Anolis sagrei: one gene and its partners. The protein of the gene in region 3 interacts with the protein of the main gene of each other region in a pairwise test. Links are inferred from orthologs where the notes say so. Each region holds a gene or a part of one and is shown on either strand. Other genes may lie near its edges.

What was found.
Region 1: the proteins of TFIP11 (region 3) and CCDC146 interact in binary tests that used the Homo sapiens proteins (3 or more experiments, as listed by UniProt). The two-hybrid records come from large-scale screens. The link is inferred for Anolis sagrei from reciprocal best matches to the Homo sapiens genes TFIP11 and CCDC146.
Region 2: the proteins of TFIP11 (region 3) and RRP7A interact in binary tests that used the Homo sapiens proteins (3 or more experiments, as listed by UniProt). The link is inferred for Anolis sagrei from reciprocal best matches to the Homo sapiens genes TFIP11 and RRP7A.

Annotation. Positions count from the first base shown.
Region 1 is NC_090025.1:85,575,229-85,580,598, reverse strand, and holds the start of CCDC146 (coiled-coil domain-containing protein 146), read right to left. Parts: upstream 2,935-5,370; 5' UTR 2,779-2,934; intron 1-2,778. Other genes in the region: protein FAM185A, read left to right, coding at 3,214-3,700. UniProt on the Homo sapiens protein: Essential for sperm flagellum biogenesis and male fertility.
Region 2 is NC_090025.1:160,159,503-160,164,872, reverse strand, and holds the start of RRP7A (ribosomal RNA-processing protein 7 homolog A), read right to left. Parts: upstream 3,250-5,370; 5' UTR 3,184-3,249; coding exon 3,120-3,183; intron 1,236-3,119; coding exon 1,093-1,235; intron 73-1,092; coding exon 1-72. UniProt on the Homo sapiens protein: Nucleolar protein that is involved in ribosomal RNA (rRNA) processing. Also plays a role in primary cilia resorption, and cell cycle progression in neurogenesis and neocortex development.
Region 3 is NC_090034.1:60,706,317-60,711,686, reverse strand, and holds the start of TFIP11 (tuftelin-interacting protein 11), read right to left. Parts: upstream 3,467-5,370; 5' UTR 3,311-3,466; intron 1-3,310. UniProt on the Homo sapiens protein: Involved in pre-mRNA splicing, specifically in spliceosome disassembly during late-stage splicing events. Intron turnover seems to proceed through reactions in two lariat-intron associated complexes termed Intron Large (IL) and Intron Small (IS).

The DNA of each region.
Region 1 (5,370 bases), on a different chromosome or scaffold from region 3:
CATCTGCAGCAGGTTAGACGGCTGGCCCCCTACCTGTCCAGGGACGACCTAGCTATGGTGATCCAGGCCACGGTCATCTCAAGACTGGACTACTGTAACGCCCTCTACATTGGCCTTCCTCTGTCGGTGATCTGGAAGCTCAAGTTGGTACAAAATGCAGCTGCTCGGCTTCTTGCGGGAATTCTGATGAGATGCCACATAACACCAATCTTACTACAGCTGCATTGGTTACCAATTGAGCACCGGATTACTTTCAAAGTGATGGTACTCACCTTTAAGGCCTTGCATGGTCTGGGGCCGATGTACCTGAGGGACCGCCTCACCCCCTACCAACCCCAGAGATCCCTCCGTTCTGAGGACCAAGATCTATTGGAAATTCCCAGCGTCAAGACCTTGCGTCTAACAGCAACCAGGCGCAGAGCCTTCACAGCAGTGGCACCATCGCTCTGGAATACTCTGCCACCTTGCGGGACCTATCAGCTTTCCGCAGGGCATGTAAGACATATCTGTGTCAACAGACCTTTGATGTCTGATATTGTTGTTTTTAGAATCATAGAATCATGGAATCAAAGAGTTGGAAGAGACCTTATGGGCCATCCAGTCCAACCCCTTGCCAAGAAGCAGGAATATTGCATTCAAATCACCCCTGACAGATGGCCATCCAGCTTCTGTTTGAAAGCTTCCAAAGAAAGAGCCTCCACCACACTCCGAGGCAGAGAGTTCCACTGCTGAATGGCTCTCACAGTCAGGAAGTTCTTCCTCATGTTCAGATGGAATCTCCTCTCTTGCAGTTTGAAGCCATTGTTCCGTGTCCTAGTCCTCAGGGAAGCAGAAAACAAGCTTGCTCCCTCCTCCCTGTGGCTTCCTCTCACATATTTATACATGGCTATCATATCTCCTCTCAGCCTTCTCTTCTTCAGGCTAAACATGCCCAGCTCCTTAAGCCGCTCCTCATAGGGCTTGTTCTCCAGACAATTTAAATTGTTTTTAAATTGTTTTGTTGTTGTTCATTCATTCAGTCGTCTCCGACTCTTCGTGACCTCATGGACCAGCCCACGCCAGAGCTCCCTGTCGGCCGTCACCACCCCCAGCTCCTTCAAGGTCAGTCCAGTCACTTCAAGGATGCCATCCATCCATCTTGCCCTTGGTTGGCCCCCTCTTCCTTTTGCCTTCCGTCACTTTCCCCAGCATAATTGTCTTCTCTAGGCTTTCCTGTCTCCTCATGATGTGGCCAAAGTACTTCAACTTTGTCTCTAGTATCCTTCCCTCCAATGAGCAGTCGGGCTTTATTTCCTGGAGGATGGACTGGTTGGATCTTCTCGCAGTCCAAGGCACTCTCAGAACTTTCCTCCAACACCACAGCTCAAAAGCATCTATCTTCCTTCGCTCAGCCTTCCCTAAGGTCCAGCTCTCACATCCGTAGGTTACTACAGGGAATACCATGGCTTTGACTAGGCGGATCTTTGTTGCCAGTCTGATGTCTCTACTCTTTACTATTTTATCGAGACTGGACATTGCTCTCCTCCCAAGAAGTAAGCGTCTTCTGATTTCCTGGCCACAGTCTGCATCTGCAGTAATCTTTGCGCCTAGAAATACAAAGTTTGTCACGGCCTCCACATTTTCTCCCTCTATTTCCCAGTTGTCAATCATTCTTGTTGCCATAATCTTGGTTTTTTTTATGTTTAGCTGCAACCCAGCTTTTGCGCTTTCTTCTTTCACCTTGATTAGAAGGCTCCTCAGCTCCTCCTCGCTTTCGGCCATCAGAGTGGTGTCATCTGCATCTCTGAGGTTGTTAATGTTTCTTCCAGCAATTTTCACCCCAGCCTTGCATTCATCAAGCCCCGCATATCGCATGATGTGTTCTGCATACAAGTTAAAAAGGTTGGGTGAGAGGATGCAGCCTTGCCGTACGCCTTTCCCAATCTTGAACCAGTCTGTTGTTCCGTGGTCAGTTCTGACTGTTGCTACTTGGTCCTTGTACAGATTCCTCAGGAGAGAGACACGGTGGCTTGGTATGCCCATCCCACCAAGAACTTGCCACAATGTATTATGATCCACACAGTCAAAGGCTTTAGAATAGTCAATGAAGCAGAAATAGATGTTTTTCTGAAACTCCCTGCCTTTCTCCATTATCCAGCGAATTTTGGCAATCTGGTCTCTTGTTCCTCTGCCTTTTCTAAACCCAGCTTGCACATCTGGTAACTCTCGTTCCATGTATTGCTGGAGTCTTCCTTGCAGGATCTGGAATATTGTGTCCAATTCTGGGCACCACAATTCAAGAAAGATATTGACAAGCTGGAATGTGTCCAGAGGAGGGTGACTAAAATGATCAAGGTTCTGGAGAACAAGCCCTATGAGGAGCGGCTTAAAGAGCTGGGCATGTTTAGCCTGAAGAAGAGAAGGCTGAGAGGAGATATGATAGCCATGTATAAATATGTGAGAGGAAGCCACGGGGAGGAGGGAGCAAGCTTGTTTTGTGCTTCCCTGGAGACTAGGACGCGGAACAATGGCGTCAAACTACAAGAAAGGAGATTCTATATGCCTTTATATTCTGGGTGATATGGCTGTGAAGAAAGGCCTTCCCTCTCTTCCCTTCGACCTTTCCCTTTTCCCCTACTGAGAGAATGGAGCATGAGGACCCTTTTGCTCCGTGAAGCCACTTAAAACAATTGAAGTAAACCGAGGGGAAAGTGGGGGCATCTACACTGCAGAATGAACGCAGTTTGACATAACTGTATCTACTCATTCGACCTCCTTCCCAGCCTTGGCCCGCTTTACCCTTTCAGCTCCCACGACGCTCCTGCCGCCTTTCCCTCAGCGTCGTGCGTTCCCATGGAAACCGACGCTCTGCTTCCGCCTCTTCCCGCCTCTTCCGCCTCCTTTCTTCTTATTGGCTGTTCCTTCCGCACCGCACGAAAACATCCTCTCTTCCCAGTCGCTGTTGACGCTCTGCATTCTGGGAGTTGTCGTTCAAGACTCTCAGAAAAATTGAGTGGAAACCACATTTCCCAGCAGCCACTTGGGCATGGCTAGGCTAGTGTAGTGCCTGAAGGACAGTTCACAGGCCCTAGTTTTAGACATTTTTTGAAACCAGAGGGTGGGCTTGTCTCTCATGCAAGGAGCCAAAGAGTCTACAAAGTCTTGGGCTGTGGAACCATCTATTTTTGTGGAAGGAGAAGCTGCCTTGGTCGACTAAGCCCAGACAGGTAGGGCATGATGATGCTGCCTCTCTTGCCCAGATGTTGGCACTTGGCAGCTGGGATCCCAGCAAGGAACTGGTTCCTGTCTGGTGGAGGAGGCCTTGCTGGGCAGGAAACATGGAGTGGCACCTGCCAACTACTGCCTCGCTTGCTTTCAACCAGCCCTGGCAGCAGAAGTCAAGATCCCTCTCAACCCAAAGAGCCCAGGCCAGAGAACAGGGAAGCCCTCAAGGAGTGGGCCCTGGCTGTGTGCCCCTTTGGCTCACTGAAGGCCCGCCTCCCTTGCCACATCACTCTGTGCCCCCTGGACCCCCACAAGCACCCTGATGGAGACAGGGTTTTCGTGACCGTGAAAGGGGCCAACGCCGAGATGCACCACCCAAGATCAAGCCTGGATTCTTTGCAGGTGAAATACGACGAGGGGCTTAAGCAAGTGAGCATCATCTCAGGTGGCGTGGACAGTGCTGCCTCGGTGGATGTGAGAATGCCCATGAAATTTGGTACGTGTGTCGTGAATGACTTTTACAGTATATATATATATATATATATATTCACCCTTCTCACCCCGCAGGGGACTCAGGGCAGATTACAATGTACATATACATGGCAAATATTCAATGCCATAGACACACAACATATATAGACAGACACACAGAGGCTATTTAACATTATTTATTTATTTATTTACCTTACTTATATACCGCTGTTCTCAGCCCGAAGGCGACTCACAGCGGTTCACAACAAATATGAACAGCAAAAATTCAGTGCTACAGTATAAAAACAGTTAACAACCTAACACATTACACAATTAATAAACAGTTACTACAATACCCATTCACAATACCCATTCCAGCTTTCATGAGGGTATTCTGGCCACCAGGGGAACTGTTGCTTCACTGTCCATTTGTGACACTGATGAAGTACTTCCTCATTCTTTGCACGCTTGCTGGAAATTGTTATGACATCGTAAATTAGTTAAATTAGCCTCCCCACATAAGCGGTACCTAAATTTCCTACTTGACGGATGCAACTGTCTTTCGGGCTGCAAAGGTCGACAGCAAACTACAAAAATTGGTTGGAAGCTCACTCTGACCCGGGCTGGCTTCGAACTCATGAACTTTCGTTCAGTAGTGATCTTAATGCAGCTGACTCCCAGCCAGCTGCGCCACAGTCTCAGTGATTCCATAGCAGTTTTCACAAATAAGATATCAAAACAATGATAAAAACTAATATGCAGAAGAAAAACAATATACTTAGCAAGATTTTTGAAAACCAGGTTTTGGGAGATGAAGAATGACTTTGCTTGTTACATAAAAAGAGCACCATTTGGCCATGAGAAGATCAGAAGACTTTTCAATGACTTTGAAGCATAGGTTCTTTTTATTGCAATTTCCAGTCTGAGAAGGTATATCAGTTTACAGAAAACATTTAGGCAAAGAATGACATTGGACACACAGACATACAGATTCTATGCAACTACATTGGATTTACAATTATTATTATTATTATTATTATTATTATTATTAACTTTATTTGTACCCCGCTAACATCTCCCAAAGGACTCGGTGCGGCTTACAAAGGCCAAGGCCCTCAATAAACAACAGCATAACAAAAACAACAATAAAATTCAAAAAGCAAACCAATAAACATTAAAGCAATAACAGTAAACATTAAACAATAACACCATGACACATTTAAAAATTAAGGGTCGGGCCAAATGCAATGAATAAGATTAAAAGTGCTGGACATGACAGGTGAAATGTAAGGATTTTAGAGTAGGTGCGATGTGCAGACAATCTTAAATCTCTAATAAAGTGCTTTTGGGACATGATGCTGGGAGTTTCCTATTCTGGAAAGGCACACTGGAACAGCCAGGTCTTCAAGCTCCTCCTAAAGACTGCCAACGTTGGGGCTTGTCTGATGTCCTTGGGGAGAGAGTTCCAGAGCCGGGGGGCTACCACAGAGAAGGCCCTGTCCCTCGTCCCCACCAAACGCGCTTGCGACGCAGGTGGAATCGTGAGCAGGGCCTCTCCAGATGAACGGAGGGATCATGTGGGTTCATATACGGAGATGCGGTCACAAACAAAGTGGAATTATAATTTCACTCAACATTCACACACATGTACATGCATTCATCCACATGCATCCAAAATATTACCATATCATTTTC
Region 2 (5,370 bases), on a different chromosome or scaffold from region 3:
CAGCGTTGGCTTTTCACACAGCTCAACAGACTGTACTGAGCCGAAGCCAGAGAATAGCCTTGACAAACATTCCTACAGAAGCAAGAATAAACTGTGAATTGTTCACAACAACAATAATAAACAATCCCAAAGCACAGCATGATTCAGCTCTATAGGAAATAACCTTTTAAAAGACTGAAACCATCCCCAAGGAGCTCATCTGTGCCTATTCCTCAGAATAATGTACAATTCCCTGCACCATGAACTTGGTTCCTGTCCTCTATTGTGTTATTTGTATGTAGTCTGTCCATGTTGTTCTGCCCTCTATTTATGTTAGTTGAAAGCTGCCATGAAATCTCTTTGTTACAGAACAGGATATAATTATTGCAATAAACAAAAATACCCCAATTTGTATATATGAATATTTCTTCTGAAATACAGCCTACAGCACCTGGGATTCATAGTAGTCTCCCATCTAGGAACTGACTGAGCTTAGCTTCCAATATCATACAGGATCTGGTGCCCTTAGAGTATATAGGCCCTACATTTTATACATACAAATATGTAAATACATAGAGACACATGTCTCCTGTCCTCTATCTAGAAATCTCAGGGTGGTATACAATAAAACTGGTCTGACAAATTTAAACAGTATAAATACTAAAATTATTTAAAAGGCTAAAAATATATTTTAAAATTCAATAGTTAAGAAGACAAATAATGTGAGTTTTTGAAAAAGCACAAAGGTTATATTAGTTCAATACTTGGTCTCCTCTTCTTTATGAAGGTACAACATATTATTTCTATAAGATAACACAGGTATACAGGCAGAACTCTTTATTCCCAGTATCCACTGTGTACTGGCTGAAATCATTAAGAAATAAGTGTACAGTGGGCTCTGGTATCTGTCAAGAGTTTTGTTCCAGGACTCCCTGTGGATACCAACGTCTGTAGATGCTTTGATTCCATTATATACAAAGTCTCACCAAGAAGACTCAATGATAGAATCATTTTATGGTTACAAGTCAGAATGACATGAAGGCACACAACAATATAATCCACAATCTTCTGTCCATGATCATATAGCTCTCCCTCCCTTTCCCAAATACTCACCTCTGTACAATATGGAGGGACATTCAGAACAAAAAGGGTATTGTTTTGAGGTCTGTTATGATCTTTTTCCTCCCTGACTTTGTGTTCCTTCACATAGAGATAGTGAGGTGACTGGTGCTTTTCAGAGAACTTAACTGGTATTACTAAAAAGAAAGAAGAATCCGTTTGTAAATAAATATGTTGTTACTTTAAAAACAACCAGCTACTAATTACACTACTCAGCTTGGAGCTTAAACTTTGCTATCCTTTTTCTCAGCCCCAACTTGGTCAAGAGGGGATTGGTCTTTGTTGCCATTGAGATCCCTCCAAGTCAACCGAACAACAGCAATAACATCTGATACAAAAGGTAGGCCTGCGACTCCAACACTGACACTTTTTCTTCTTCTCCTGCATGATTTTTATCATCTTTTGCTGATGAAGAATCCAGTGGAATTCTGAAAGCTTATCTGGTATGTTTTGTGCATTTTAGTTAACCATTAAGCCACCATTCTTTTGTGGATTTTGAGTTACTAGGTGTTTCAAAGCTAAACATTAAGCTATTCAGCTTAATGATTCAAATGTGTAAGAGATTTTCCCCTTTGGCTGCTAGACCAGGCATGGGCTAACTTCAGTTCTCCAGGTGTTTTGGATTTCAATTCCCAGAAATCCCAGCCAGCTTGCCAGCTGTTGGGAATTGAAGTCCAAGTACCTGGAGGGTTACAATCATCTGATTTATAAATGACTCACAGTTAAGAATGAGGGTGAGACAACAGAAAGTGAGAGAAATCTGCCTCTAGGATGGGAAATTCACTCCTGGAAGAGTTATCATGGGGAAAAAGTGTCTCCACTGAAGCTTTAGCACCAGTCCTTGTTTCCACAACAAGCATTTTTTTCAAAATCTAATGATCATAGGGACAAAAAGTGTGGGGAAGTATTCTGAACAGGGACACAGACCATAAAACAAACACCACAAGGGTGTTAACCCTTTCCTATGTTATCCAAGGGCCCCCTGGTGACACAGCAGGTTAAACTGCTGTGCTTGCTGACTTAAAGGTTGGCGTTTGAATCTGGGGAGCGGGGTGAGCTCCCACTGATAGCCCCAGCTTTTGGCAACCTAGCAGTTCAAAAACATGCAAATGTGAGTAGATCAATAGGTACTGCTTCTGTGCTCCATGCAGTCATGCTGGCCGCATGACCTTGGAGGTGTCTATGGACAACGCCGGCTCTTCAGCATAGAAATGGAGATGAGCATCAACCCCCAGAGTCGGACATAACTAGACTTAATCTCAGTAGAAACCTTTACTTTACCTATGCTAGTTTTATGTGTGTGTGTGTGTGTGTGTGTGTTTTTTTTTAAATTGGAATAACACTCCAAAAATGCACCTGTTCTGACTTACATACAAATTCAACTGAAGCACAACCCTACAGAACCTATCTTTTCTGTAACTTGGGGGCTGCCTGTATTATTTGTGGTATCTCCCTGAAAATCCATTTTAGCACAGCAAACCCATGAAAATACACAAAAACTTTGAGATTTTAATACAAGTGTAACAAAAGATAGCAGTAAACAGTCTTTTTTTCCCTTTCAACCTGAAGGACTATTCAGCCCATGCCTTTATTAAAACGTAGTCCATTTTGTGCAACGTGAATGGAACTGAAGGGAAGTGTGGTTTTGCCAACCTCCCATTCAGTTCCTTCTGCAAATCATGGAGTTAAGTTGAAAGAAAGTTGTTTCCAAGGGCCTAGGCCAGGCATGGGCCAACTTGGGTCCTCCAGGTGTTTTGGACTTCAACTCCCAGCATTCCTAACAGCCTCAGGCCCTTTCCTTTTCCCCCTCAGCCGCTTAAGCGGCTGAGGGGGAAAAGGAAGGGGCCTGAGGCTGTTAGGAATGATGGGAGTTGAAGTCCAAAACACCTGGAGGACCCAAGTTGGCCCATTACTAGTCTACACTGTAGAATTAATGCGGTTTGGCAGCCCTTTCACCTGCCAGGGGGTTACCAAATACCCGTCCCCGCACCGGGTTCCCCAGAGACCTGACCCCTCCTCACCCGCGAAGCCCAAGGGGGCGGCCGCCCTCCCGCTCCTCTCGTGCCTCTTTCCCGGCGCCGCCATCTTGCTCCACGAACAGGAAGTGGCCTCGCTTGCCGCAAAGCATCCTGGGAGTGGTAGTTTCCCAGGGGGCGGGGGCGGCGATTCGGGGGAGATTCTCGAAGAGGCGCAAATACGCGCGAGGGCAGCGCTGCAGGGCCTTTAGCTTTCTCTTCCGAGGGAGTGGATGATTGGCTGTTGCTAGGGGATGGGGCCCTTTGTGATGTCACTGGGAAAGGAAGGAAGGAAATAGGGAGAGGGAAGGGAGGGCGGAGGTATGGGTAGGGAGAGAAGGAGGAAAGGAAGGAGAAGGGAGAGATGGAAGGAGAGGAAGAGGAAGGGAGCGAAGGAAGGGGAGGAAAGGAGGGAGGGAAAGAAGGGAAGGGAGGAATGAAAAGGAGGGAAGGGAAGAAGGGAATGGAGTGATGGAAGGAGAGGAGGGAAGGGAGAGATGGAAGGGAAGGAAGGGGAGGAAAGGAGAGAGAGAAAAGAAGGGAAGAGAAGGGGAGAAGGAAAAGGAGGGAAGGGGAAGGAAGGGAATAAAGAGGGGGAAGGGAGGAAGGAAAGGGAGGGAAGGAAGGAAAGGGAAGGAGGAATGGAGTGATGGGAGGAGAGGAGGGAAGGAAGGGAGAGATGGGAAGGAAGGGGAGGAAAGGAGGGAGAGAAGAGAAGGGAAGAAGGAAAAGGAGGGAAGGGGAGGAAAGGTGGGAGGGAAAAGGGAAGGGAGGAAGGAAAAAGGGAAGGAAGGAAAGGGAGGGAGCGATGGAAGGAAGGGGAAGTGAAGGAAGGGAGAAATGGAAGAAAAGGGAGGGAAGGGGGAGGGAAAAGAAGGTAAGAGAGGGAGGAAAGAGGGAAGGAAGGAAAAGGAGGGGAAGAAGAAAGGAAGGAAGTAAAGAGGGAAGGAAGGAGAATGGAAGGAAGGAAAGAAGGGAAAGGAGGGAGGAAGGGAAAGGAAGAAAGGGGATGGGATGTGAAGAGTGTCATGGAGACGCTGTGAAATTGGCCCTCGGAGCTGGAGAAGGGAGAAAGTAGAGATGAAAGGAAGGAAGGAAGGAAGGAAGAGAAAGGAGAAGAAAAAGGAAGGGGGAAGAAAGAAAAAGGAGGGCAAGGGGAGAGAAGAAAAAGCAAAGGGAAAAAGGTTTGAGGAAAAAGGAAGAGAAACCGGGGACAGGAACCCCACCAGATAAACACACTAATTTCAATTGAATCATGTCAATCTAGTACAGATGTCACCTTGTAGCAAATAATGTGGACTTGTTCATTGGTTACCTTTTGACTGCTCTACAACAAACATGGGCAAACTTTGGCCCTCCAGATGCTTTGGACTTCCAACTCCCACAATTTCTAAGAGCCTACCGTGATTTGGGATGTATGGATACATGTATTCTTTTACATTGTTTTGAACCACACAAACAATATTTGTTCCCCCATAAACTCTCAAGCGCTCAATACCTGAAAGCCAATCTGAACAGTTTCCTTCTCACATGCTTCATTCAGGGCATGAAGTCTTCCCCATACACGGGAAAGCATGCCAACCTGTCAGCTTTGACCAGTGACCTAAACTTGAAGTTTGGCTGGTTCAGATAAAAGATCTCCAAAGTAACATAGATGTACTTCACTGACTTTAAAACAAATCTTGCTCTTTTCAATAAGGCAGATCCGAGCAGTCTGTATAACAAATGTTTATTATGGAACGTAGTACATAAGAGTCCTCCAGCCCCAACCTTCCCTTCCCTTGTAGCTGATCACAGTTGCAAGTGAAACCCCAGAACAAGGAACAAGCTGTTCGGCACAAAAGAACTGACGTTTCAAAGCACACCTCCCCAGTACAGGTTTAATTATGACCAGTCCAAAATTAGTAACCAAGATCCGCAAATTTTATTGGGGGAAAAAAGCTCCTTCCACATCCTAAAGGATTGTAAGTATGACGCATCTCAAGTGTCGGTGCTAGAATAAACTAAGACTATACAGACTGAAGAGCAAAGGGAAAGTAGAAGCCACCCATCAGCAGGTTCTACAACAGAAGAAAGCAAGTCTTTTTTTCTTTTTTACAACCACAGCATTTCAGCACAGATTAATAGAAAAGCTTAAATCTTGTAGCTGGGAGGATAAAAATTCAACCCCTCAGCCCGGAGTCCATAGGTATTTGTGTCTTGATTTAATATAAAATATCAAAAAATATTGGTCAGTTTTCCATTCCCAATGATTATC
Region 3 (5,370 bases):
TGGCCCAGTATAGTGATCTGGAAAATAATGTAATGAGAAAGTGCTGGCTTCTAATATATGTAATGTCTTTCTGCTTGTGGGTAACCAGTATTTCTTGCTGTTTCTTTGCCAGTGTTAATGTGGAGATTGTCTGGTTGGCCTACTCTGGAACATGCAACATATCATTGTCCTTCTTTAGGGGTCCCTTTCAGATCTATGGTACTGCATCTGTCATATACATATGTGTGTGTGTGTGTGTGTGAATGGCTGGATGGCCCTTTGTCAGGAGGGCTTTGATTATGATTTCTTGCCCTGGTGAAGGGAGTTGGACTGGATGGCCTTAAGGCAGTATTTCTCATCCTGGTAAGTCAAGACCCCGGGTGGGGGGGAGAGTCACCAGAGGGGTGTCAGAAGGGTCACCAAAGACCACCGGAAAACACAGTATTTTCTGTTGGTCATGGGGGTTCAATGTGGGATGTTTGGCCCAATTCCATCATTGGTGGGGTTTGGAATGCTCCTTGATTGTAGGTGAACTATAAATCCCAGTAAGTTCAACTCCCAAATGTCAAGGTCTATGTCCCCCAAACTCCATCTGTGTTCATATTTGGGTGTATTGAATGCTTGTGCCAAGTTTGGTCCAGATCCATCATTGTTTGAGTCCACAGTGCTCTCAGGATGTAGGTGAACTACAACTCCCAAACTCAAGGTCAATGCCCACCAAACCCTTCCAGTGTGTTCTGTTGGTCATGGAAGTCCTGTATGCCATGTTTGGTTGAATTCCATCATTGGTGGAGTTCAGAATGCTCTTTGATTGTAAGTGAACTATAAATCCCGGCAACTACAACTCCCAAGTGACAAAATCATAATATTTGAGTGATGATCACTCCTTGTGTTGTGAGACGTTTTGTTGCCAAATTTGGTGTGATTTCGTTCATTGGTTCTTTTGTTTTTAAGGTATTCATTATGCACAGAGCATTTATATATATATATACACACACACACTAGCTGTCCCCTGCCACGCATTGCTGTGGCCCAGTCTGATGATCTGGAAAATAAAGTAATGAGAAAGTGTTGGTTTCTAATATATGTAATTCCTTTATGCTTGTGGGTAAACAGTATTTCTTGGTTTTTTTTTCAGTGTTGATGTGGAGAGTGTCTGGTTTGCCCACCCTGGAACATGCAACATATAATTGTCCTTCTTTAAGGGTCCCTTTCAAATCTATGATACTATGTGTGTGTGTGAATCATATATATCTATCTATATCTATATCTGGATGGCTCTTTGTCAGGAGGGCTCTGATTACATTTTCTTGCCCTCGTGAAGAAGAGAGTTGGAGTGGATGGCCTTAAGTATTTTCTGTTGGTCATGGGGGTTCTGTGTGGGAGGTTTGCCCCAATTGCTGGGGTTCTGAATCCTCTTTGATTGTAGGTGAACTATAAATCCCAGTAACTACAACTCTCAAACATCAAGGTCTATTTCCCTCAAACTTCATCTGTGTTCATATTTGGACATATGGAATATTTGTGCCAAGTATAGTCCAGATCCATCATTGTTTGAGTCCACAGTGCTTTCTGGATGTAGGTGAACTGCAACTCCCAAACTCAAGGTCAAGGCCCACCAAACCATTGTAGTATTTTCTGTTGGTCGTGGGAGTTCTGTGTGCCAAGTTTGGTTCAATTCCATCATTGTTGGAGTTCAGAATGCTCTTTGATTGTAGGTGAACTGTGAATCTCAGTGACTACAACTCCCAAATGTCAAGGTCTATTTCCTCCAAACTCCATCTGTGTTCATATTTTGGCGTATTGAGTGCTTGTGCCAAGTTTGGTCCAGATCCATCATTGTTTGAGTCCACAGTGGCTTCTGGATGTAGGTGAACTGCAACTCCCAAACTCAAGGTCAAGGCCCACCAAACCCTTCCAGTATTTTCTGTTGCTCATGGGGGTTCTGTGTGCCAAGTTTGGTTCAATTCCATCATTGTTGGAGTTCAGAATGCTCTCTGATTATAGGTGAACTATAAATCCCAGCAACTACAATTCCCAAGTGACAAAATCATAATTTTTTGAGTGATGGTCACTCCTTGTGTTGTGAGACGTGTTGTTGCCAAATTTGGTGTGCTTTCGTTCATTGGTTCTTTTGTTTTTAAGGTACTCATTATGCACAGAGCATTTTTATATATATAGATAGAAGATAGATAGATAGATAGATAGAAGATAGATAGATAGAAGAGAGAGAGAGAGAGAGAGAGAAGATAGATAGACAGATAGAGATATAATAGATAGATAGATATAGAAGATGGATAGAAGATAGATAGATAGATAGATAGATAGAGATATAATAGATAGATAGATGATAGATAGAAGATAGATAGATAGAGATATAATAGATAGAGAGAAGATAGATAGAGATATAATAGATAGATAGATAGATGATAGATAGAAGATAGATAGATAGAGATATAATATATAGAGAGAAGATAGAGATATAATAGATAGATAGATAGATAGATAGAAGATAGATATATAGATAGAGATATAATAGATAGAAGATAGATAGATAGATAGATAGATAGATAGAGATATAATAGATAGAAGATAGATAGATAGCAGATAGATAGATAGAGATATAATAGATAGATGATAGATATAGATAGATGATAGATAGATAGAAGATAGATAGATGATAGATAGAAGATAGATGATAGATATAGATAGATAGAGAGAGAGATAGAAGATAGATGATAGATATAGATAGATAGATAGATAGATAGAAGATAGATAGATGATATAGATAGATAGATAGATAGATAGATAGATGATAGATAGAAGATAGATAGATAGAGATATAATAAATAGATAGATAGATAGATAGATAGAAGATAGATAAATAGATAGAGATATAATAGATAGAAGATAGATAGATAGAAGATAGACAGAGATATAATAGATGGAAGATAGATAGATAGAGATATAATAGATAGATAGATAGCAGATAGATAGAGATATAATAGATAGATAGATAGATAGATAGATAGATAGATGATAGATAGAAGATAGAGAGAGAGAGAGAGAGAGAAGATAGATAGATAGAAGATAGAGATAGATAGATAGATAGATAGATAGATAGAAGATAGATAGATAATTGCATATTATTATATACAATAGAATAAATATAATAATAAATACTGTTTAACCCACTGTTTCCAGGCAGAACAAGCCCCGTAACGGTTTCCATGGCAACCCTTTTATAATAGTTTATTAATATAAAATATATTAATATGTGATAGTCATAAATATGGCAATAATAATAATATTATATATATATATTTCTTACCTTCCTTCTTTCGTGAAAGGGAAACAAAGGCCTGCTTCTTCTTCACAGCCTTCTCCTCGCTGAAATGAGCGCCACTTCCTGTTTGGCCTTCAAGCGACTGCGACTGCGCCTGCGAGCTCAGCGTTGACAATGGTGAAGCCCGCCCCGGAAGTGACGCCTTGCAGGAGCAAGCGGATTGAATGAGGAAACAATAATGGGCGACGTAGCGACGTTTCGTGGTGACCGCCCTCATTTTCTCATCTCTGACTTTCTAGTTTTTCGTCTCGATGGTTACGGTGGCCCGAAAAGCTCATTTCCAGACTCATAGGATGAAGCTCATAATAAGAATACTAATGACAATAATAATAATAGTATACTATAAAATACACAAATTGAAAACAAGAATGTGTGTGTGTGTGTATATATATTTATATATATATATATGTGTGTGTGTGTATATATATATATATATATATATATATTGAAAATAAGAATATAATAAAATATGGATATAATATAATAATTTTTAAATATAATTTATTTATTTATCATTTATTTACTTCATTTGTATACCGCCATTCTCAGCCCTAACACGACTCATAGCAGTTTACAACAAGCAAAAACAAGGCGAACAATCAAGGCAAAAATTCAATGTGGCATCAAGAAGGTACTTAAAAACAGTTAACACAGAAACAAATTAAACAATTTAACACTAATAAACATTCAGTGGCGTCTCATAACTAGAATCATGATCCAAACTTGTCAGTCGTAGTTCCATTTCCTGAAATTCATTGCACTGCTTATTCAAACGCCTGTTCAAATAACCAGGTTTTCACTTTCCTCCGGAATACCATCAATGAGGGGGCCAATCTGATGTCCGTGGGAAGGCCGTTCCACAGCCGAGGGGCCACCACCGAGAAGGCCCTGTCTCTTGTCCCCGCCAGCCGCGCCTGTGTTGCAGGCGGGATCGAGAGCAGGGCCTCCCCGGAAGATCTCAAAGTCCTAGTGGGTTCATAGGTGGAGATGCGGATAGGTAACTTGGGCCAGAACCGTTTAGGGCTTTATAGGCCAAAGCCATGTGTGCTATAATGTCAATCAAAATCATAAATCTCCTGGTTCCATTATATGCAAATTACTGACTGCTTTAAGGAAGACAAAAAGAAAGACTTCTCCCCACAAGAGTCACTGTGGGACAAAATAATGGAAAAGGATAAAAAAGTGGTCAGAACCCTTTATGGGAAACTCCTGGAGTGGGAAACTGAACTGGAAGTTGTAAAGGAGAATATGACCAGCTGGGCAGCTGATTTCGGGCACTCTATTCTCCTCAGCGAGTGGGAGGCTATATGGAAGAGAAAATTAAAATTTGCAAAATCCACCAACATACTAGAAAATTGGCAAAAAATCTTCCACCGATGGTACCTAACTCCACAGAAGATGGCAAAATTCCACAAAGGAACGAACAGTGACTGCTGGAAGTGTGGGGGGGAGCTGGGTACCCACTATCACGCATGGTGGCAGTGCAAAAAAGTCAGGAACTTCTGGCGGGAGGTGCATAGGGCAGTGCAGAAGATCCTGCAGATAAAAGTGGAGTTTAAAGCAGAATATTATCTTTTACATTTATTAGATTTTCAGTTAGACCCTAACAAAGATATGTTGTTGTTTCACTTCTCAGCAGCCGCCAGAATTGTGCTCGCCGGCAAGTGGAAGAGTAAGGAATTACCAAAAATTGATACCTGGCTATTAAAAATTAGAGATTTAATGGAGATGGACACTCTTGCAACTATGACTTACGAGATTAGCGAGAGACGCAAGATTGACTGGCAACCATTCAGGCAATATTTGAAAGAAAAGAAGAGTATAATTTTATAATTTTACAAGATTTGGGAAGCGGCGTAGACGATCAAGAGACTTTGTTTTCTATTGTTACTAGTATAACTCTGCTGAATCTCTGAGGAAGTCCACTTGTTGATTGTAACTTGTCGATAGAATGATGCCTCTGTAATTGTGTGTGTAGGTGCTATGTAGCACCAACCTTCTAGCACCCCCCCCCACTAACCTTCCCCCCCCCCCCCCGCCCACAC